5 linked regions of the Macaca mulatta genome follow. The protein of the gene in region 3 interacts with the protein of the main gene of each other region in a biochemical or structural test. Links are inferred from orthologs where the notes say so. Each region holds a gene or a part of one and is shown on either strand. Other genes may lie near its edges.

The links. The genes of interacting proteins can lie anywhere in the genome.
Region 1: the proteins of UBE2D1 (region 3) and UBE3C form a complex in vitro, tested with the Homo sapiens proteins (8 studies listed by BioGRID). The link is inferred for Macaca mulatta from reciprocal best matches to the Homo sapiens genes UBE2D1 and UBE3C.
Region 2: the proteins of UBE2D1 (region 3) and RNF216 form a complex in vitro, tested with the Homo sapiens proteins (2 studies listed by BioGRID). The link is inferred for Macaca mulatta from reciprocal best matches to the Homo sapiens genes UBE2D1 and RNF216.
Region 4: the proteins of UBE2D1 (region 3) and RNF114 form a complex in vitro, tested with the Homo sapiens proteins (3 studies listed by BioGRID, with this or other methods). The link is inferred for Macaca mulatta from reciprocal best matches to the Homo sapiens genes UBE2D1 and RNF114.
Region 5: the proteins of UBE2D1 (region 3) and LRSAM1 form a complex in vitro, tested with the Homo sapiens proteins (2 studies listed by BioGRID, with this or other methods). The link is inferred for Macaca mulatta from reciprocal best matches to the Homo sapiens genes UBE2D1 and LRSAM1.

Annotation. Positions count from the first base shown.
Region 1 is NC_133408.1:196,597,947-196,601,991, reverse strand, and holds the start of UBE3C (ubiquitin-protein ligase E3C), read right to left. Parts: upstream 2,803-4,045; 5' UTR 2,468-2,802; coding exon 2,402-2,467; intron 2,035-2,401; exon of another isoform or gene 1,794-2,034; coding exon of another isoform or gene 1,752-1,793; intron 1-1,751. UniProt on the Homo sapiens protein: E3 ubiquitin-protein ligase that specifically catalyzes 'Lys-29'- and 'Lys-48'-linked polyubiquitin chains.
Region 2 is NC_133408.1:44,014,590-44,018,855, forward strand, and holds the start of RNF216 (E3 ubiquitin-protein ligase RNF216), read right to left. Parts: upstream 2,803-4,266; 5' UTR 2,679-2,802; intron 1-2,678.
Region 3 is NC_133414.1:91,527,778-91,531,876, reverse strand, and holds the start of UBE2D1 (ubiquitin-conjugating enzyme E2 D1), read left to right. Parts: upstream 1-1,294; 5' UTR 1,295-1,497; coding exon 1,498-1,521; intron 1,522-4,099.
Region 4 is NC_133415.1:102,775,405-102,779,587, reverse strand, and holds the start of RNF114 (E3 ubiquitin-protein ligase RNF114), read right to left. Parts: upstream 2,803-4,183; 5' UTR 2,789-2,802; coding exon 2,649-2,788; intron 1-2,648. UniProt on the Homo sapiens protein: E3 ubiquitin-protein ligase that promotes the ubiquitination of various substrates. In turn, participates in the regulation of many biological processes including cell cycle, apoptosis, osteoclastogenesis as well as innate or adaptive immunity.
Region 5 is NC_133420.1:20,261,748-20,265,732, forward strand, and holds the start of LRSAM1 (E3 ubiquitin-protein ligase LRSAM1), read right to left. Parts: upstream 2,803-3,985; 5' UTR 2,640-2,802; intron 2,383-2,639; 5' UTR 2,227-2,382; exon of another isoform or gene 2,176-2,226; intron 1,998-2,175; exon of another isoform or gene 1,880-1,997; intron 1-1,879. Other genes in the region: RPL12 (large ribosomal subunit protein uL11), read left to right, coding at 2,998-3,034, 3,511-3,584.

The DNA.
Region 1 (4,045 bases), on a different chromosome or scaffold from region 3:
CTCTAAGACAGAAGCCAAGCCAAACAAGCCAGGCACAAAGGACAAGCGGCAAGTGGCTCCATGACCCTGAAGTTCAACAGGTAACGCTAATCTACAGTAACGGAGGTCAGGAGGACAGTCACCTTTGTGGGGCTGGAATACAGACATACCCGGCATAATGACCTTTCAGTCTGTCAACAACAGACCACATAAACACCGTGGTACCATAAGATTATAATTTGTATTTTTACTGTATCTATGTTTGGATGCACAAATATTCACCACTGCATTAAGAGTTGCCTACAGTATTCAGTACAGAAACACGCTGTCCAGGAGGGTAGCACAGGAGCAACTGGCTGTACCAAGCCGCTAGGTGTGTAGTGGGCAACACCAGCTAGGTGTGTGTTAAGTGCACTCTGATGGTCCCACAACAACCAATTGGCCTAGTGACAGTGTCCCCCTCTTTAAGTCACACATGACTGTAATTAAAGGGTGAGAGTGCAAGGGAGCCTCTGGAATGCTGGGAATGGTCTTCCTTTGATGTGAGTGGTATTCCCTCTACAGGAGAGTGTCCATATGCAAAAATCCTTCAAGCTGTACATACAGCTGGGTCCCCACCCAGATTCCTTAACCAGGCCAGGGCACCCATGCCCCAGCTGCTGCCAGTTGCTACTAAGGGCTCTTTACTGCCACTCTCTCCCAGAAGAATGGCCCTCGGCTCAGGGTCAGCAGTGCAACACTCCCACCCTCATCCCGGGGCGGGGGGGAACCTACAGCCACCAGCCCCTCTGCAGCAATTAGGGCCAACTGTGGCAAGCTCCTGGTGAGATGGGGCTAAAGCTAGCCTCCAGCTGAGACGCCCTTCCTCTTCAATTTCACTTGCACAAGGATCTCCTTAGCGCTTGTGAAGCTGACTGTATCTTACCTTATACCCCAATAAAAAGTGTTTTGTTTTTAAAGGGGTGATTGTTTCACACAGCTCAGGGTATCTTCCTTTGAGATTCTGATCAACAGATAAGAAACCTCACTCCCTCAGAGCAGAGATGCACTCCTTGGTGAAAACGGACCAACAACCATGGCCCGTGGGGTGTTCATGCCCGCAACAGAGGCCGCGCCGCGCTATGAAAATGGCATGGAGTCTCAGGTGGTCTGCCACTAGCTTGCTGTGTGAATGTGCACTCGTTCAAATGCTCTGCAGCTCACCTTCCCAACTTGTAAGCAAGGAAATTTGGTCCAGAGATTCTCGGAAGTCTCTTCTAACCGGAGAAATCCTTTGATCTCTTAAGAAATTTTCATTAACGTGGAAGCCCCTAGGTGCTACCACGCCCACCCTGTAACCGCACAGTACTTAGTTGTGGAGCACAGCGACTTGCAAGCAATCACCATCACACAAACCTCAAAGCTTAAAAAGGATCGGCACACTTCTCTCCCAACTCTTGACCCAGGTTCCCTTCTACCCTCAGAAACTACCAAACACAGCACCATGGCACAATCTTAACAGCAGTTCCTCCTTGGCCTGCCAGCATCCACTCCGCGTTACGTGCCTACCTGGTGGTTGTGATATACAGAATATACTGACAAACAACAAAAACTAGGTGAAGCAATTTAAAGAATATTTCAGAAATGATGGGAAGGGGTGGGAAGGGAGGGGCGGGAGCAAGACCACACAGCATTCAAAGACTTAGCGGTTCCAGTGAACCAACCGATGCCCGTCTTCAGGGACAGACAGCTGGAAATTCTAGACTAGAACAGAGGCGTCATGGTTTGCCTACCCTTATTCTAAACAATGACCATGCGAACAACTTATGGCCCATCACAACAGATACAAGTCCGGAGTCTCTCCACAGTTTCCGGGAGGCTGGTAGCGAATAATTGCCCTGGTCTTGGATTCAAACACGTGGCTATTCATGAGGCGTTCTGCTTCCACTTCAGAGATTATCGACATCAGCAAATGCGCGCCGTTCACCTTCTACAACCGAAAACGCCCTTCAGGTGGCATTCGAAAAGCAGCCACTCCCTGATGCCATGCGGGAGCGAGCACGGAAAGCCCCATTTCTGAAAGCAAACACCCAGAAAGGGTAAGTTCACCTTGGGTGGCACAAAGCATGCCAGGGTTCCCCGGCCGCCTGCATGGAAGGGAGCCACGGCCAGCGCGCCCGGGTCCCGAAGCACAGCGGACAGGCAAGGCCCCCACGGGCGCGGCCTCCAGTTCCAGCCAGGGAGGCCCCGAGTCCAGCCCTAAGTCCTAGGCAGAGTCCTGGCCCCAAGTCTCGGCCCCGAATCCAACCCCGAGTCCTTGCCGGGGCTGACCCGAGATCCGGCGAGGAAGCCCCGAGTCCCGGCCAGGGAGGCCCCGAGTCCAGCCCCGAGCCCCGGCCGCGCAGGTCCCGAGCCGAAGGAGCCCCGCCAACCCGGGCCTCACCTTCCTGCTCGCGCCGCCAAGAGACACCTTGGGCCGCGTCTTGAAGTCGCCTTCGAAGCTGAACATCCTGGCAGCCTAGCCCATGTGCGGACGGCGCCGCCGCGGAAGCAGCCGGGCGGGCGGGGCACGGGGCGGGCTGGGAGGCTCTCGGCGCCCGCCCGCCCGGCCCAGGGCAGCGAGGACGCGGCGGCCGGGAGGCGACCCGAGCCCGCCCCCGGGCTGTACCCTCCCAGCCCTGCCCTGGGGCGGGAGGGGCGGCAACACTGGAGGGGCGGCCCTGCCTCGCCTGCCCCTCATCCACGCCGGCCACTGCTCCGGCCGCTGCAGGGGCGCCCAGCGGGCAGCAAACCCGGCGCTTGCACCTGGAACTGCCGCCTCGGGAGGGAAGATGGCGGTCAGCCGTCACTGCGTGCGCGGCCCTGCAGACGTGCGCGCCTCCGCCATCGACGGCACGGCGCTCTTCCCGGCGGCTCCGCCAGCGTGCGCGGCCCCGCAAGGCGCGCTGGAGCCTGGGGAGGAGGGCGGTGACCTGGGCACGCGGCGGAGTGGGCGGGGCCTGGTGCGTGCGGGGGGCGCGGCGGGGGGCGCGGCGGGGGGCGCGGCGGGGGGCGCGGCGGGGGGCGCGGCGGGGGGCGCGGCGGGGGGCGCGGCGGGGGGCGCGGCGGGGGGCGCGGCGGGGGGCGCGGCGGGGGGCGCGGCGGGGGGCGCGGCGGGGGGAGGGAGGTTTTGGGTGCGGGGCGGGATGCAGGGAAGGCGGAGTGCGAGGCGTGGGCCGGGGTGGGGTGCACGGCAGGGTGCGTGGTGCAGGGTGGGGTGCAGGGGTCGGCACCCGGAGCGGCCAATCTGGTGCCAGACTCGAGTGAGTGAGGCGGGAAAGGAGCAGCTAGGCCCAGCCCGTCTGTTTACACCCCACCTGTTCTATGTCTATGACACGCACAGACGGACGTAAATATTTACCATGTACACAGACATGCGCAGATTTGCCTCATACATACACAGCACACATATGCATCAATATACACACACAGCATCAATACATATCAATATGTATCATGTACACATACCTGTGTATGCATAAATATGCTCCTGGACTTACCATGGGGCTTTGTCCTGATAAACCCATCGTAAGATGAAAATATTGTAAGTTGCAAATGTATTTAATACTACAATAAACCCATCACAAAGTCAGAAAATTGTGAGTTGAGCCATTTTAAGTTGGGAACCACCTATACATAAACATGTGTCTTGTTATACGTATACATAAATAATCTCTCATATACATGTGCATATACATATATATCATACACGATTGAAGCCAATTTCTAAAAATTGATTTTTGGTTGTATACAAGGTATGCAACAGATTTCATAGACACATTGTGAAATGACTACCCTCTTTGTGTTTGTTTGTGAGGGTAAAATCTACTCTTGGCAAAATTTCAACACACAGTATGATACCATCTACAGTCCTCCTGCGGCTGAGCACGGTGGCTCACGTCGGTAATCCCAGCACTCTGGTAGGCCAAGGCGGGTGGATCACCTGAGGTCAGAAGTTCGAGACCAGTCTCGCTAACATGGTGAAACCCCATCTCTACCAAAAATACAAAAATTAGGCCAGCGTGGTGGTGCGCACCTGTAGTCCAAG
Region 2 (4,266 bases), on a different chromosome or scaffold from region 3:
CATAAAATCTTCCCGTTCCTCTCTCCCTTCTCAGCGTGTAAAGAATGTTCTGCAAGAGCACGGTGGCTCAAGCCTGTAATTCTTGCGCTTTGGGAGGCCGAAGGTCACTTAAACCCAGGAGTTGGGCAGCAGAGCCAGACTCCGTCTCTTAAAAAAAAAAAAAAAAAAAAAAAAAAGGCCGGGCGCCGTGGCTCAAGCCAGCACTTTGGGAGGCCGAGACGGGCGGATCACGAGGTCAGGAGATCGAGACCATCGTGGCTAACACGGTGAAACCCCGTCTCTACTAAAAAATACAAAAAACAGGCCGGGCGCGGTGGCTCAAGCCTGTAATCCCAGCACTTTGGGAGGCCGAGACGGGCGGATCACGAGGTCAGGAGATCGAGACCATCCTGGCTAACATGGTGAAACGCCGTCTCTACTAAAAACACAAAAAACTAGCCGGGCGAGGTGGCAGGCGCCTGTAGTCCCAGCTACGCGGGAGGCTGAGCCAGGAGAATGGCGTGAACCTGGGAGGCGGAGCTTGCAGTGAGCTGAGATCCGGCCACTGCACTCTAGCCTGGGTGACAAAGCAAGACTCCGTCTCAAAAAACAAAACAAAACAAAACAAAACAAAAAAAAAAACAAAAAACTAGCCCGACGAGGTGGCGGGCGCCTGTAGTCCCAGCTACTCGGGAGTCTGAGGCAGGAGAATGGCGTGAACCCGGGAGGCGGAGCTTGCAGTGAGCCGAGATCCGGCCATTGCACTCCAGCCTGGGCGACAGAGCGAGACTCCGTCTCAAAAAAAAAAAAAAAAACTTGGACGGCCGTAGTGGCGCACGCCTGTAATCCCAGCTACTCGGGACGCTGAGGCAGGAGAATCACTCGAACCTGAGAGGTGGAGGTTGCAGTGGGCAGAGATCACACCACTGCACTTTAGCCTGAACAGAGCCAGACTCCGTCTCCCCCCCCCCCCCAAAAAAAAAGCTCAATCAATGGGCTGGGGTGGGTGGGGCAGAGAGGAACTGAAGAGACATATTACATTTAAACGCCACCATTTCCGAGGGACGCGGATGTGCTCTGGTCCCCCACCTGCATCCCATTCAGTAAACAAAGGTGATACATATTAGTGTTCCTATTGCCCACCAAAACATACAGCAGCACAAACCCATTTTTCTAAGACCTTGTGCCTGACTATTGCAGGAAGCTGGAGGATTAAAAACAGCTGGAGAATAGATGAGCTATGTTTGGCTCCTAACCTCTAAAACAATGCCAACCCAGCCCCTTCCAGGAGTAACAGCTTGAAAACAATACACCAAACTTAGTTTTTAGCATTCCTGGAAATTCCATTATTAATTCATGGGTCTTCTTCATAAGGGAAGAAACCCCATTTTTGAGGTGAGGCACAGGCCCACGAGCGCAAAATGGCCTGGCCAAGCTGGAGCCAGGTGTGTGTGAGGGCCACGGTGAGGCCCTCTGCCCTGCTCACCCTTACATCACAGTGCTTCCTCTGTAGGTAAACGTGTGGGTTTTCAGCCAGGGCGCTTCTTACTGAAGGGCCCAAGGGCCCAGGGAGAACACAGCTGACACGTTTTTTGAAAAGACTATGTAGCACTTTGGGAGGCCAAAGAAGGGATCACCTGAGGTCAGAAGTTCGAGACCAGCCTGGCCAACATGGTGAAATCCTGTCTCTACTACAAATACAAAAATTAGCCAGGTGTGGTGGCACATGCCTGGAATCCCAGCTGAAGCAATCCCTGTGAGGCTGAGGCAGAATTCCTTGACGCAGGGAGGCGGAGGTTGCAGTGAGCAGAGATCGCGTCACTGCACTCCAGCCTGGGCAACAGAGCAAGACTTCGTCTCAAAAAAAAAAAAAAAAAAAAAAAAGAACAGAAAAAAGAACGTTCTTTTTGCACGATCGAAGTACCGGGGACAACTGCTAACCAGGCCCTCAGGGACGCACAGAGCCCTGGCAGATTTGTCAGAAATTTCTGTAACCCGCACGCCGCGCACGCTCCCGGATTGGTTGCAAGTGGCCCAAAGTCTTGGATCCCTGGGTCCCGTTACACCGGGAGCCGGGCCACCTCGACGCGGGGACAGCGGCCTCGCTCCCTGCCCAGCGCCCGGGCACCCGAGCCGGGCCAGCCCCCAGCGCCCCGCAGAAGGGTTTGACGCACTTGCGGCGCCCTCGCGAGTGCCCGGTGACAGTCGCCAACTTTCGCGGAACAACACCCGCTCCAGATGTGAGGGGAGAGGTGGAAAAACGCCGCCCGCCTGGGCTGGGGTTCACAGGGACCGGCCGCCTCCCGCCGCTTCTCCAGGCCGCGCTCGGGTGCACGGACCCCGCCTCCGCGGCGACCTCGGGCCCGGGGGAGGGAAGCGCGGTCTCCCGGGCTATCGCCCTCGCGCAGCTGACCCAAAGGGCCGGCCCGCGAAACTTCGCGAAGAGGCGGGAGGGGGTCGCCCAGTCGCTCAGCGCCTTTGTCGCTCCCGCCTCGCCTCCGCACGGGGCTCGAGACGCCCAGCCCAGTCCTTTGGCCCGATCCCGCCCGGGCCTCGGCCCGCGCCCCTCAGCTCGGCGGCCCTCACGGCCCGCGCCCCCGCCCCCACCCCCGGAGCTCCACGGAGGCGTCCCGCAGAGAGGCCGCCTCGCCTCACAGACCCGCCCAGGAGCTCAAGCGCGCCCCGCGACCGACACTCACTCGCCACGCAACTCGCCGGCTAGCCAGGCGGGTTCGGCGGCCTTCGGTACCGCGCCGCCTACTCTTCAGAAGCCACAGCTGCGAGCTCCGTCGCTGCCGCTGAGGCAGCCGCTACACTCCTTCCGGTCCTGCCGCGGCGTCACCTCGCGCCTGCGCACAGCGCCCCCTCCCGACTAAGGACAGGAAGAACCATAGAGGCACTCCGGGTGCTGTGGAGGAGGGACCCGGGGGCTCACCACAGAGAGGGCCGCCTAGCCGCGCCTGCATCCGGGCTCTCCGCCTGCGGAGACTTGACTCCCCCACGAGGCGGAAGGATGAAAGGAACGGAGACCCCCATCCCGGACCCCACAGGAGCCGCCATCTCCCTAGAGCTTAAAAGGGTATGGGGTAGGTGGTTGTGGACGTTTACTCGATATCTACTTATTTGCCCTAATTCTTTTGGCAAGCCATTCATTCATTCTGCAGATATATTCTGTGGATTTCCTGTGGGCCACGCACTGTTCTAGGATTTGGGGAAATTAAGAGTAAAGTGGGTCCCGTGGCTGGGCACAGTGGCTCACGCCTGTAATCCCATCACTTTGGGAGGCCGAGGCGGGCGGATAACTTGAGGTCAGACGTTGGAGACTAGCCTGGCCAACGTGGTGAAACCCCGTCACTACCAAAAATAAAAAAATTAACCGGGTGTGGTGGCGGATGCCTGTAATCCCAGCTACGCAGGAGGCTGAGGCAGGAAAATCGCTTGAACCTGGGAGGCAGCGACTGTAGTGAGCCAAGATGGCGCCACTGCACTCCAGCCTGGGCAACAGAGCTGCACTCCATCTCAGAGAAAAAAAAAAAAAAAAAAAAGTACAATGTGTTCCTGGCCTCAGGAAGTTTAGGTTTTAGTGGGCAAGTGAATAACTGACTAAAAAACTGCTCCTGCTGGGCACAGGGGCTCATGTCTATAATCCCAGCGCTTTAGGAGGCCAAGGCGGGAGCATTGCTTGAGGCCAGGAGCTCAAGACCAGCCTTGGCAACATAGCAAGATCCCTACTCTTAAAATAATTGCTGGCCGGGCGCAGTGGCTCACGCCTGTAATCCCAGCACTTTGGGAGGCCGAGGCAGACAGATCACTTGAGGTCAGGAGTTCGAGACCGGTCTGGCCAACATGGTGAAACCCGTCTCTACTAAAAATACAAAAATTAGCTGGGCATGGTGGTGCATGCCTGTAATCCCAGCTACTAGGGAGGCTGAGGCACAAGAATTGCTTGAACCCAGGAGGGGGAGGTTGCAGTGAGCCAAGATCATGCCACTGCACTCCAGGCTGGGCAACAGAGTGAGACTGTGTCTCAAAAACAAAAATCAAAAAACAAAAAACAATTGCTAAGTACACCTTCAAGTAGAGATGTCAAGTCAGTAATTAGATAAATGAGTCTGGGCTGGGCACAGTGGCTTATAACTGTAATCCCAACACTTTAGGAAGTGGAGGTGGGAAGATGGCTTGAAGCCAGGAGTTTGAGATCATCCTGGGCAATAGAGTGAGACCCCATCTTTACAAAAGTAAAAATTAGCCGGACATGGTGATGTGCACCTGTAGTCCCAGCTACTC
Region 3 (4,099 bases):
CCACCATTAATGAGCACCTAGGTTGACTCCATGTCTTTGCTATTGTGAATAGTACTGATGAACATGTGAGAACATATATCTTTTTGGTGGAATAATTTGTTTTCAGTTGCATATATAACCAGTAATGGGATTGCTGGGTCAAATGGTAGTTTTGTTGTAAGTTCTTTGAGAAATCTCCAAACTGTTTTCCACGATGGCTGAACTAATTTACATTCCCACTAACAGCATATAAATGTTACCTTTTCTCCTCAGCGTCACCAACATCTGTTGATGTTTTCACTTTTTTTTTTTTTCCTTTTTGAGACAGAGTCTTACTCTGTCGCCCAGGCTGGAGAGCAGTGACTCCAACTCAGCTCACTGCAACCTCCGCCTCCCGGGATTAAGCGGTTCTCCTGCCTCAGTCTCCTGAGTAGCTGGGATTACAGGCGCCCACCACCATGCCCAGGTAATTTTTGTATTTTTAGTAGAGATGGGATTTCACCATGTTGGCCAGTCTGGTCTCGAACTCCCAACCTCAGGTAATCTGCCCGCCTCAGCCTCCCAAAGCCCTAGGATTACAGGCGTGAGCCACTGTGCCCGGCCAAGAAGCCAAGTTTTAATGGGTACACAAGTGCCCAGGAATTGGAGAGTGGGGAGTGTGCGTTGACTATTAGTCAGAGACTGTCAATGGAAGGGAAGGAGTCAACGATGGGAGTGAGAGCTCTGAACTCGGTGTTCGAAGCGGGTAATTTATGGGAGGGGCATACCTATGAGCAGACGATGCACTCAGACACGGAAGATCTGTGCATTGGACAGAAGAGACACCTTTTTCCTCTGCAGTAAGAACCAAGGAGGTAAGTAAGGGGTCTGATAGATATGAGTTTGTGCATGTGTGCTGGGTGAGTAATTGAGATAATTCATATATTTGAGAAAAGACAGTGAAATATTTAAAGGTAAATATAATAAAACCAGCTGTGGCACCTATTGGATAAGGAATTACTAACTGATGATTTAGAAATTCCTTTATGTGCGTTAGGAGCTCATTTGTTATCCCCATTTTACAGATGCGCAGCCCCAGGTTCAGTAACTTGCTCTAAATGAGACTGTAGAGACTAACTCCAGCACCCGGCAGCTCTCACCTTAAGCTGCCTGGCTAAGGTCAGCAGCAAGTAACCTGGCAGCGTCTGGGGGCCTGCGGCCGAGGACAGGGCTGGAACTACACTTCCCAGTATGCCAGGCGGGGCGGGGCGCGGCGGGGAGGGCGCAGGCTCCTTCCCAGAAGCAAAAGCGGAAACAAAAGAGTCTCGCCGGCCTCCCCGCCCGCACACTCGCGCACACTCGCGCTCGGGCGCAGACGGAGCAGGGACCGGCGCCCGGAGCGAGCCAGGGAGCGGCGAACCGGGGACCCACCGCGCGGAGCCAGCTGAGCTGCCAGCGAGCCCAACTCGCGAAGACTCACGCCCCCGAGCCCCGCAGCCGACCCCTGCCGGCCGGTGTCCCCACCGCGATCCCTGATCCATGGCGCTGAAGCGGATTCAGAAAGTGAGTGCCGGGGCCGGGCCTGGGGCTGCGGGGCAGCAGGGCAGCGGCGCCTGCCCACGCTGACTCGGCCAGTGGTCCCGAGAGATATGCAGGGAAAGCACGGGATGGAAGGGTGGGCCGGGGTGCGGGCAGGGAGCTGGAGGCTCGGGCCCGGCCAGCGGGCACCGGACAGGTTAGGTGGGAGCGGGGGCAGATCCCAGGCGGCCGGGGGAGCTTGAAGGCTGGGGGCCCGTGGCGCGCTCGCGCCGGGGCCGCTCCCGGAGCCCCAGGGTAGAGAGCCTCCTCCGCGTCCAGACCGCCCCGAAATCTGTGCTTCACGGTCACGGCTGGGTTTTGCCCTCCATGAGGCTAGTTTTGACCCCTGTCATGCTGTGTTTTCTCCAGGCTGTTTCTTAAGCCTGTCTCTTTTATGTTCTTGCTTACCCGGGCTCCCCGGGAGGGCACGGAAGGTGGGGTGGGCCTGCAGCCTTTCTCCGCGGAGCTGTCGGGTTGGTTCTTTCTCCTCTGCGGTTGGCTCTTGCTCAGTTGCCCGAATGGGCTGGAAAGCCCATTTGCGGCCAAGAAGCCAAGAGAAGGCTCCTGCCCCTTCTATTTTGGTGCCTCTGCTGCTGCCACTTCAGGTCACATAGCTGTAGCGAAAACATAGTTGCTGATACACAACAAGATGACCTCCTGGCTGTGATTCACGGTGAGTCAAGCCAAACAGGTTTTTTTTGCCCCTCATGGTAAACTTAGATGTAAAGTTCGAGACACAACATAAACTGTCGCAAATAGATTGTTTTGATGCTTTGACACATGGGTATAAAATGAGGAAGAAATATGTATCTTCATCCAACAACTGTTCACCCATCTCAACCCTGTGTGTGGAATTGTCTTTTTTTCACAGTATTTATTGCCACCATTTCAGAAGCGAACATCCTTCAGAATTGATATTCGGGCATTTCTTTCTGTTCATTTTTATTTCTTGTTGGTCTGTGTACTGACCCAAGTTTTAGGTTTTACAGTTACAGTTCACACTGGGAACATTGAGAATGTGTTTGTTAAATAGGGAGTGCTTTTCACTAAGTTAAGCAACAATGGTCAGTGTATTTTGTAGTTGTTTCAGAAGAAATTAATGCCCACATTTTTATCTACTTTTTTGACCAGTAGTCCATTATAGCAATAGTAAATGTTAGAGCAGTGATAGTGACGTACACATTGTATTCTGACTAGCCACTAGTGGCATCTTTAGGTACAGAGGACAGCAACTTTTAGAGCCTGCCAGTTTTTTATTTTCAAATTCTAAATCTGTTGATCACCTGTTATTTTTTGTCCCATTTAAAGGTCGTCTCATTGTAAAACATACAGTTAACAATCAGCATCAGCATTTATTAAGTTATAATGTTTTCTTGTTTGAAGATAGTTCAGTTACACGTTGTTTTATATAAATATCCTAATTTTGAAGCCTCAGTCGGCCTCTTTACCATAACTTGCATACTTATTAATGACGACGTAATATTGGTTCACATTTGGATCAGAAAATGCACATCTTCCAAGGAAGTTTTCAAATTCTATTTCCTTCTTTCCTAGTTGTGAGAATTTTTCACATGATTTTGCACATACAAGAGCTTTTTAAATTATCACTGTGTTTTTTTAAGAGATGGGGATCTCAGTATGTTGCCCATGCTGGTCTTGAACTCCTGTCCTCCAGAGAGTCTGGGATTACAGGCACAAGTCACCATACCCAACTATAACAATAGCGTTTAAATGCTGTGCAATTTGTCCACAGTAAGTGGATATTCAAAGAAATATGAACATTGTTTGTAAATACCATACTTGGCAGTTCTCGTCAATCACCATGCTGAACTGGTGTATTTGATTTGTATTTATAATGTGTGTGTCCAAATCTTTTCTTTTTAGTATTTATTGGTTATTAGTTTATAGAGTTGTTCAGAAAAAAAAAATTACTTACATGGAATTGATATCAAACATGTGACAAATCGATATTTTGGAGAAGAAATTGGGATCATATACCATCACATCTCTGTGCGTTCATCTTTGGCTTCCCTTTCTGATATCAGGCAAGTTAACTTACACAAGTCTTTCCATTAATCACACATTCAGACCGTTTCCTCAAACCTTAGGGGTGATTATTTTGATTGATTCCCTATTTTTCCTCCTCCTTTATCTACCTCCTTGATTAGAAGCCAATTCTAGGTCAGTTGTGCCGCCTGCCATATGAACAGTTATACCATCTTCTTCTTTGATGTCATCAGTATAGACATTCTTATTTGAATCTTTCATGTTCCAACAAATGAAGATGTATACTAACTTTTGGCCTTTCTTCCTAAGCTCCTATTGAAGTGTTACTATAGTTTTCCTGTACCTAAAGTTGCAGACTGTAGAGCTGTGTGGAACCTCAGATAAGTCTGCCGTAGTGTACTAGAGGGTACCAGCACGGGAACAGCTTCTAGGGTAGTGTCTTAGAATCACCTGAGGGACGTTTTCAGACTGTCGTCACTTCTATAAATGGAGAGGTGTTGAATCCCTCAGATGGGTTGGGGTGGAAAGAAGACTGAGAACCACTGATGTTCTGGCC
Region 4 (4,183 bases), on a different chromosome or scaffold from region 3:
GTGATTAAATATATGAAGGAAATATGGCAAACAGACCAGCTGGAGGGATCACAGAAAGCTGCTTCTGAGGAGTTGGCATTTGAGCTGGGTGGGACCTGATTACGAGGACAGCCACACAGATCTGGGTGCAGAGCTCCACACCAAGATGATGCCACACACAAATGAGGACTGGAAAGGCAGGCAGGCAGACCTTGGGGGCCACAATGCGGTAGACCATGGTGAGAAGGGCAAGCGATAAGGCAGTAGACACAGGCAGGGCCTGTGGCCATCACTTCTGTTGCCTGTTCACAAATGCAGATGACAACAGGAACCCAAGAGAGCACAGAGGGTCCAGTGAGTATAATGCAACCAAACCCAGCATGCAGATAAAAGCAGCTCGAAGTCTCTTTGCAAGCACACACACAGGTTCAGCTCATCTATCAAATGTTCATGAGTCACTTTGTGCCTGAGACATACCCAAACTACCAGACTGCTTTTGAACTGCTCAAATATCCTGGGCTGGCTTTTCAGTTTCTATTTCCTATTTATGGGCCCTTTCCTAGTTCAGCCTTCTGACGCTCCACTCTGTCACAGTGCTAGGAAGAAATTCTCCTCTCTTGGGCACCCAGCCAGCTGCCTTTCTCCAGCTGTATTCTACTGGATTGGAGAACGCAGTCATTCAGGGCTTGAAATAAAGTTTTATAAAAATCCAGTGCCCCAGCCAGAGTTGTAGTGATGCTCAACTTTCCAAGCACAAAAGGTAAAAATCAAGTAGGCACAGGAGAAAGCATTCGGTTGGAGCTAAGGGGGACTCAGGCTGCCCTCACAGAGGTGCTTCCATCTGTCTTCAATTTGCACTGAACTGCTGAGCACGTGGGGCTAGGACAGCGAGGATAGGATAGAGAAGAGCCAAGGTTTGAATACCAGTAGTTCCTTGCCCTCTGACCTAGGAAAGGTTCACCCAGCTCAAGAAAATCTCAAATTTTGCTGCTCTTCATTTAGCAAACTGTGCTGGGTCTAGCCTTTTTACAAATGTTAATAGTAAATGAAATCCACTGAATTAATCCAAAATCAGGTAAACCTGATCCAAGGATAAGCGGATTCAATGAAAAAGCTAAAGACCACTTCAACTCTCATGAAGCTTGCTTACACGACTTATTAGTTCATTCAACCATTACCTGATCATTCACCCCACGCACAGAGGTGTGATCCCTGAAATACCCTCCCACTTGCAGAATGAATTTTTACAATAGTTTGACGAGTCATTGGTACTGATTTGTAAACTCTGAAGGCAGAGTCTACCCCAAGATCTGGCACATAGAGGCCATTCCAGTCAGTTGAGGGGCAAAAAAGATATGGCCACTCCATCATGAGCTGTAAGTTTTGCTCTGTGCAAGCAAGGAGAAGGAAGTTAAGTCCCAGAAAGGAAGTGGGGGAAGTAATTTAGATGGGGATGGGTGTTTGATGAGGTAAACTAACCAGGGACTTGAAGCCCGAAGCGGGGGGGGGGGGGGGGGGGGTTGGGGAGGAGTTCCAGGCTAACTGAATTGCAAAGAGGAATAGCCTAAAGCTACATGATGAGGCAAAAAGCAGCCAGTTAGGTGCCAAGCACTGTTCTCTAGACTATTAAAACGGTCACCTGCAGTATATCTGGGAAGAGTTAGGCCACGGCGACCCTTCGACAGGCAAGCGTCGGACCCTCGGTGTATTCACCTGTAAAATGGCTGCCAACCCTCCCCCGCTGCAGGGTGGCTATAGAATAATGCCCATGGAGTGCAATGGCTACTGTGTCTGCTGACTAGTGAAGGGGTGCCAAGACCAATGCCAAGGTGATCCCACAGTAAGCACTGAGAGAGACGAGAGGAAAAGCCAATTCTGAGGCAAGAAGCAGGTGGCCACGTTGTCTACAATTCTTTCAACTCAGGTGTGTCTGTGCGTCTGACGGAACAAGGCTTAGATTCAAATCGACCAACCTCGAAAGCCCCGGCCACAGCCCAGGACTGGACATCTTTACACATATCTGCTTTAATCATTATAACCAGTCTATTCACAGTATTCAGGTCATAAAGGCTTAATTGAAAACTGAAAGAAACAAACCTCCTACACAGGAAGTAGAATGCTAACAATCCCATCTGCCAACTCCCACCCCCTTTCACAGCTAAGGGCAAACTGGCCAGATCCCCATAAAGACTTCCCTTTTGTTGTTTTAGTCTAGTCCAGCGTTTCTCCCAACTTTGGTTCGTATTAGAATAACTCGCCACAGCTAGACTCAATGCCAAATGTCCTATGCTTTAAGAGCGACGCGGTCTAGAAAGGAAACGTCGGCTCTCCAAGGGCGGACTTCCGAGCCTAAAGTCCCCGCAGGGCACGAGTCCACTATCACGTGTGGGAAGGAGACTGACAGGCCGCCTGGAACATTGCAGGCGCTCAACGGACAGCAGCTGCCCCGCTAAGACGGGCGGAGGGACGGGATACTTAGAAGTAAGCGGGGCGGGACAGAAGAGCGCCCCGGCAGCTTTCACGGCCCTTAGGAGCCCCGGGGGACACCCCCGGGAGGCCCCTCTGGGTGGGTCCTCTGGCTCCCGCCCTGAGACGCATCTCGCTCCTCGGCTCCATTTCCTTCCCAGTCAGTTAAGTGCCTCCCGACCAGGCCCGGGCTCGCCGCTTACACGTGTCCGCAGGGCACCTGTACCGGCTTCTCGTACACCTCTAAGCACACGGGACACGTGAAGCGGCCTAGGGGATCAGCCTCCGCCGCCGGCCCCGCCAGCTGCGCAGCTCCCCCGCCGTCTTGCTGTTGCGCCGCCATCTTGCTGCCGCTCTGCGCCGCGCAACGGCGGCCGATGAGGAGTAGGCCAAGGGGGCGGGGCTCGCGGCCGGAGGGGGCGGGGCTCGCGGGGAGGTGAGCGGTTGGGGGCGGGGCTCGTGGGTGGGCGGCCCCTCGCGGCCCCTGGGGCCCCTCTGACCCAAGCGAGCTGGAGGCCGAGGGAAATCTGGAAAACGTGGAAGCCAGATCCAAAGGCTGCCAGAATTGGGACGGGCTCTGCGCGTGGGCCGCTGTTTTCCAAATTTAAGTCGTTAGTTCGGCACCACTTGCACTTATCACTATTTATCTTCGAATCAAATTGCTTTTTCCTTAAATTTATTTATTTATTTATTTAATCTATTTTGGGAAAAGGTCTTGTTTTGTCGCCCAGGCTGGTGTTCAGTGGAGCGATCATGGCTCCCTGCGGCCTCGACCTCCAGGGTTCAAGCGATCCTCCCACCTCAGCCTCCTGCGTAGCTGGACCACAGGCAGTCACCACTATGCCGGACTAATTTATTTATTTTTGGTTTTTTTTTTGTAGAGATGGGGAAAGGAGGTGGGGAAGGGGCGATGCCGAGAGCGGGCGGGTCTCACTGTTGCCGAGGCTGGCCTCCAACTCTTGGACGCAAGCGATCCGCCTGCCTCAGCAACCCGAAGTGCTGGGATTACAGCGGTGAACCACCGTACCCAGCCATTTCTTAAATTTAAGCAAATTTAATAACATCTAATTCCTGAGCTGCAAGAAGAAAGTCAATATCATTTATTTATGCAAAGGAGCTGGGTACGGTGGCTTACGTCTGTAATCCCAGCACTTTGTGAGGCCGAGACGGGCGGATCGCTTGAGCCTAGGAATACGAGAGCAGCCTGACCGACAAGGTGAAACCCTGTCTTTACTAACAATACAAAAATTAGCCAGGCGTGGTTGCCCATGCCTGTAGCCTCAGCTACTCAGGAAGCTGAGGCAGGAGAAGCCTTTCACCTGGGAGGCGGAGGTTGCCGTGGGCCAAGATCGTTCACTCACTCCAACAGTCACTGAACTTCAGCCTAGGCAACAAGAACAAAACTCCATCTGAAAAAAAAAAAAAAAAAAAACCCCAACAATAAAGCACATTCCTTTCAAATTGTGCAATAATCACCATCAGCTATCTCTAGAATTCTGGTCGTCTTGCTAAACTGAAACTGAAACTCTGTCCCCATTAAACCATAACTTCCTGTTCCCTCCTCCCATCCCCATAACCCCAGACCCTGGCAATTTTGTCTATGCTTTTGAAGCACTTATAGCTATAAAATTTCCCCTGAGCACTGCTTTCACTGTGTCCAGTAAATTTTGGCATGCTGTGTTTTTGTTTTCATTTGTTTCTCAATATTTTCTCTCTTTATTTATTTTATTTATTTATT
Region 5 (3,985 bases), on a different chromosome or scaffold from region 3:
GGGGCCGTGTCTTTCTAGTGAGTTCCATGGGGTCAGGGGTCACATCTTTCTAATGAGTTCCATGGGCGCAGGGGCTGCGTCTTTCTAGTGAATTCCATGGGCGCAGGGGCTGTGTCTTTCTAGTGAGTTTCATGGAGGCAGGGGCCATGTCTTTCTAGTGAGTTCACTGGGGTCAGGAGTCACATCTATCTAGCAAGTTCCATGGGGCCAGGGGCTGCGTCTTTCTAGTACTGGTTCCATGGAGGCAGGGGCTGCGTCTTTCTAGTGATTTCCATGGGGCCAGGGGCTGTCTTCCTAATGAGTTCCATGGAGCCAGGGACTGCATCTTCCTAGTTCCACGGAGTTCCATGGGGGCAGGGGCCACGTCTTTCTAGTGAGTTCCATGGGGTCAGGGGCTGCATCTTTCTAGTGAGTTCCATGGGGTCAGCGGTTGCATCTTTCTAGTGAGTTCCATGGGGTCAGGGGTTGCATCTTTCTAGTGAGTTCCATGGGGTCAGGGGATGCGTCTTTCTAGTCCTTCTGTCAGTGTCCTGAGCCCACAACAGGTGCTCAGTACTCCTTGTTCTTTGTTGACTAAACATTAAGCAGCAGGATGAGGTGGAGACAAAGACAAGCCAGATGACCTGGGTTGGGGCCCATATTTGCCACCAACCCATAGTGAGGTCTTGGCATTATCCTTTTCCTGTTCTGGGGAAACTTAGAGAAGTTTCCTCAGGCGCTTTCCAAGGCTGTTCTTTGGGGACTCTAACAGACTCTGCCAATGAATCACTTCCAGCCCCCTAGACTGTCAGAGCGGGATCAGCAGGAACAAACTAGAGCCAGCCAGGACCTTGGGGAGCTCAACTACATCATGATCAAAGAGACCTCTGAGGTGAATACAAATTAAAAAGCAATCCTCAGCTTACCACCCTCAGTTATTATTCCATTTTATTCTCACCATATCCCTATTTAAAGTGAAGAAACAGGCCGGGTGTGGTGGCTCATGCCTGTAATCCCAGCTCTTTGGGAGGCCAAGACGGGTGGGTCACTTGAGCCTAGGAGTTCGAGACCAGCCTGGGTAACATGGTGAAACCCCGTCTCTACTAAAAATACACAAAGTAGCTGGGCGTGGTGACGTGCGCCTGTAGTCCCAGCTACTTGGAAGGCCGAGGCACGAGAATCACTTGAACCCAGGAGGCGGAGGTTGCAGTGAGCCGAGATCACGCCACTGCACTCCAGCCTGGGTGACAGAGGGAGACTCTGTCTCAGAAAATAATAAATAAATAAATAAATAAATAAATAAATAAGTAAAGTGAAGAAACAGATGCTTATTAAGTTCAGTGGCCTGGCTGTACAGCCTGGATTGCAGCCTGGAACCGTGGTCTCTCAAGTCCTGACCTGTGGGATTTGCCCGACTCCTTGGTGCTCACATAACTTGGCACACACGAAGTACACTGTCCTGAACTCAGAGCCAGGTGCTCACTGCCTGCCCAGGGCCTGCACAGTGTCTGTAAATATCAGAGCAGGATAAGGGATGGCAATGAGCCAGGAAGCAATCACCCAGGGAAGTGCATGGTGAGCAGCACAGGCTTTGGGATGAAAGAGAACTGGATTTGAATCCGAGATCTGCCACCCACGACCGCTGAGGTCACCTTGGTTCACCTCTCAGAGCCTCAGTTTCCTCATCTGTAAAGTTTAAGTAACCATGCTATCAACACTGGCTTCTGTGAGGATCCAATGACTTCATATATGTCAAGCGCATAATACAGGACCTGGCACACGAGTGCTCAATAAATGTGAGCCACAAAGCACCCACATGCAAGCAGCATTGATTCAGGGCCCACTAGAGGAGCTAGGGAGAAGACAGCCCTGGGAGGAGATGCAGCTGAAGAAGACATACACCCAGTCCTCAGAGGGATGGGCAGAGATGGCAGCTCTGCACCCACAGGGGCGGGGCTGTCTGGGGAGGCAGCCAGGCCTGCAGAGCCAGCTCAAGACCTTCTTGTCACTCCACCTGCCTGCAAGGATGGGGAATGGTTTGAAAACAGCCCTCTCCCATCACTCCCTTCCCGATGTGCAGCCCTCCCCCCGACTTCCTCCCAACCACCATCGCTCTCCCACCCCTCCCAGAAGATCAGCTCTTTCCAGGCTGCCCCACATGCCTGTCCCTCCCTTTCCGACGTCCAGCCTAGATGCGGGGGGAGGGCCACATCCATATTTCCTGGGGTGGGGTGGGCAGTGGCTGACCTGGCTTTACGGATGGAGGGGTCCCCCACGTTGGGAACCGCGGGTGCACCCGAGGGCAGGCTGATCACTCGGAGGGCTTGGTCACGGACTCGGGGCCGCAGACCACCCGGCACGGGCCGGGCGGAGCCGGAGTCTGGTCTCCTTCAAACGCAGGTGCTGGGGACAAACTCAGAATCTCAGAAAGTCACGCAGACCGGGATGACGAAGTCTGAGGCTCTAGGAACCGCGGACTCTCAGAATGAAAAGCGGGACTGGATTTCCACATAGACTGTTTTGATAACTAAAGTGCACACACCAAGTGCTGGAGGGGGCAGGGGTCGCTGCGGTACTGGGGTCTCGGAATGGGACAACGGACCCCTCAGGGGAGGGGCGGGGCTCTGGGATTGGGTGTTGGGGACCGGGGTGACACTCACGATAAAGGAGTATGGGAAACAGCCAGGCCTGGGATCACGGGAGCAACCCCTCTTCTCAGACGTCTCCAGAGCGAACTGCCCGATCTCCCTTTCGGAATCTCTACCTTCAGCGCATCGCGGTGCCCAGCTCGCAAGCCGTCAGCCTCAGGCGCCTGCCCACAACAAACATGGCGACAAAAAAGCGTCTCTGGAAGGCTGGGCAGTGACGACAGTTCTCGCGATAACCGCGTTTTCCTCCCTATATCCGGCGTCGTCCGCGCGATTTCCGGCCTCTCGGCGTTCGGCTCGGAGGGGGCGAAGGTGCAGCCTTCTTCGGTCGTCCCGAATCCGGGTTCATCCGACACCAGCCGCCTCCACCATGCCGCCGAAGTTCGACCCCAACGAGATCAAAGTCGGTGCGTGCTCTCGTTGTGGCCGGGGCTGCGGGATGGAGCATCCCTCGGCCCCGCCGCGCGTGCAAAGCTTTCTAATATGGGGCTCTTAAAGCCGCTGCCTCCTAGAGGCCTTCCCGGTGCTGCACCGTCCTGGCCAAGCCTCAGTCTTTCTAGGCCTTAGCTTCTCCACGTGTAGGTGGGGAGGGAGGACCGAACCACCTGTGGCGGCTTGGGAGCCCGCAGGCCCTAGGGTAAGGCTTGTCTTCGGGCGTTTGGACCCACTGGCCTGGGTTCGCGGGCGACGGGGCTCTCTCCACGCCTCCGCGGTGTGAGGTTCGGAGCTGCCCACGCCCGAGGGAGGAGCGGGTGGCCGGCCTCACGCTCGGTGCTGTTTCGAGAAGAGGCAGAGGGTGATGTGTCCAGCCCCGGAAAGACGCTGAGAGGGCTGTGGCTCGGGGGCTCCCTCTGCAGAGACCCTAACCCTTCTTTTCCTCCAGTATACCTGAGGTGCACCGGAGGTGAAGTCGGTGCCACTTCTGCGCTGGCCCCCAAGATCGGCCCCCTGGGTCTGGTACGTCATCCCCGCCAAGGGGCTTGTTTTCACTTACAGAGCAGAGTTAAGCGCCGGCTCGTGGAGTCACGACTGTGCCAGAGGTGCCCTCGTGGCTTGGATTGTCACCCTCACTAGGCCTGAGCCACTGACTAGTACTAGGTACCTTAGGAAGGTCGTGCGTGAAACATCGAACCCGGTGCCTTTAAATTGTAATTAGCTCCATGTGTCTCCACTGTTGCTTTGGGGCACCTGAGGGGTGGGCCCAAGGGGGTTTTGAAGTTAGGAGTGGCTTAGTGACATTGGGCAGCCAATATCTGTATTTCCTCGTCAGGGAAGTGGGCATGGCATTGTTGGGAAGATTAAATGGGGTGTGGGTGAAGATCCAGTGAGTGTTAACAGCTGTGTTGTGGATGTAAACT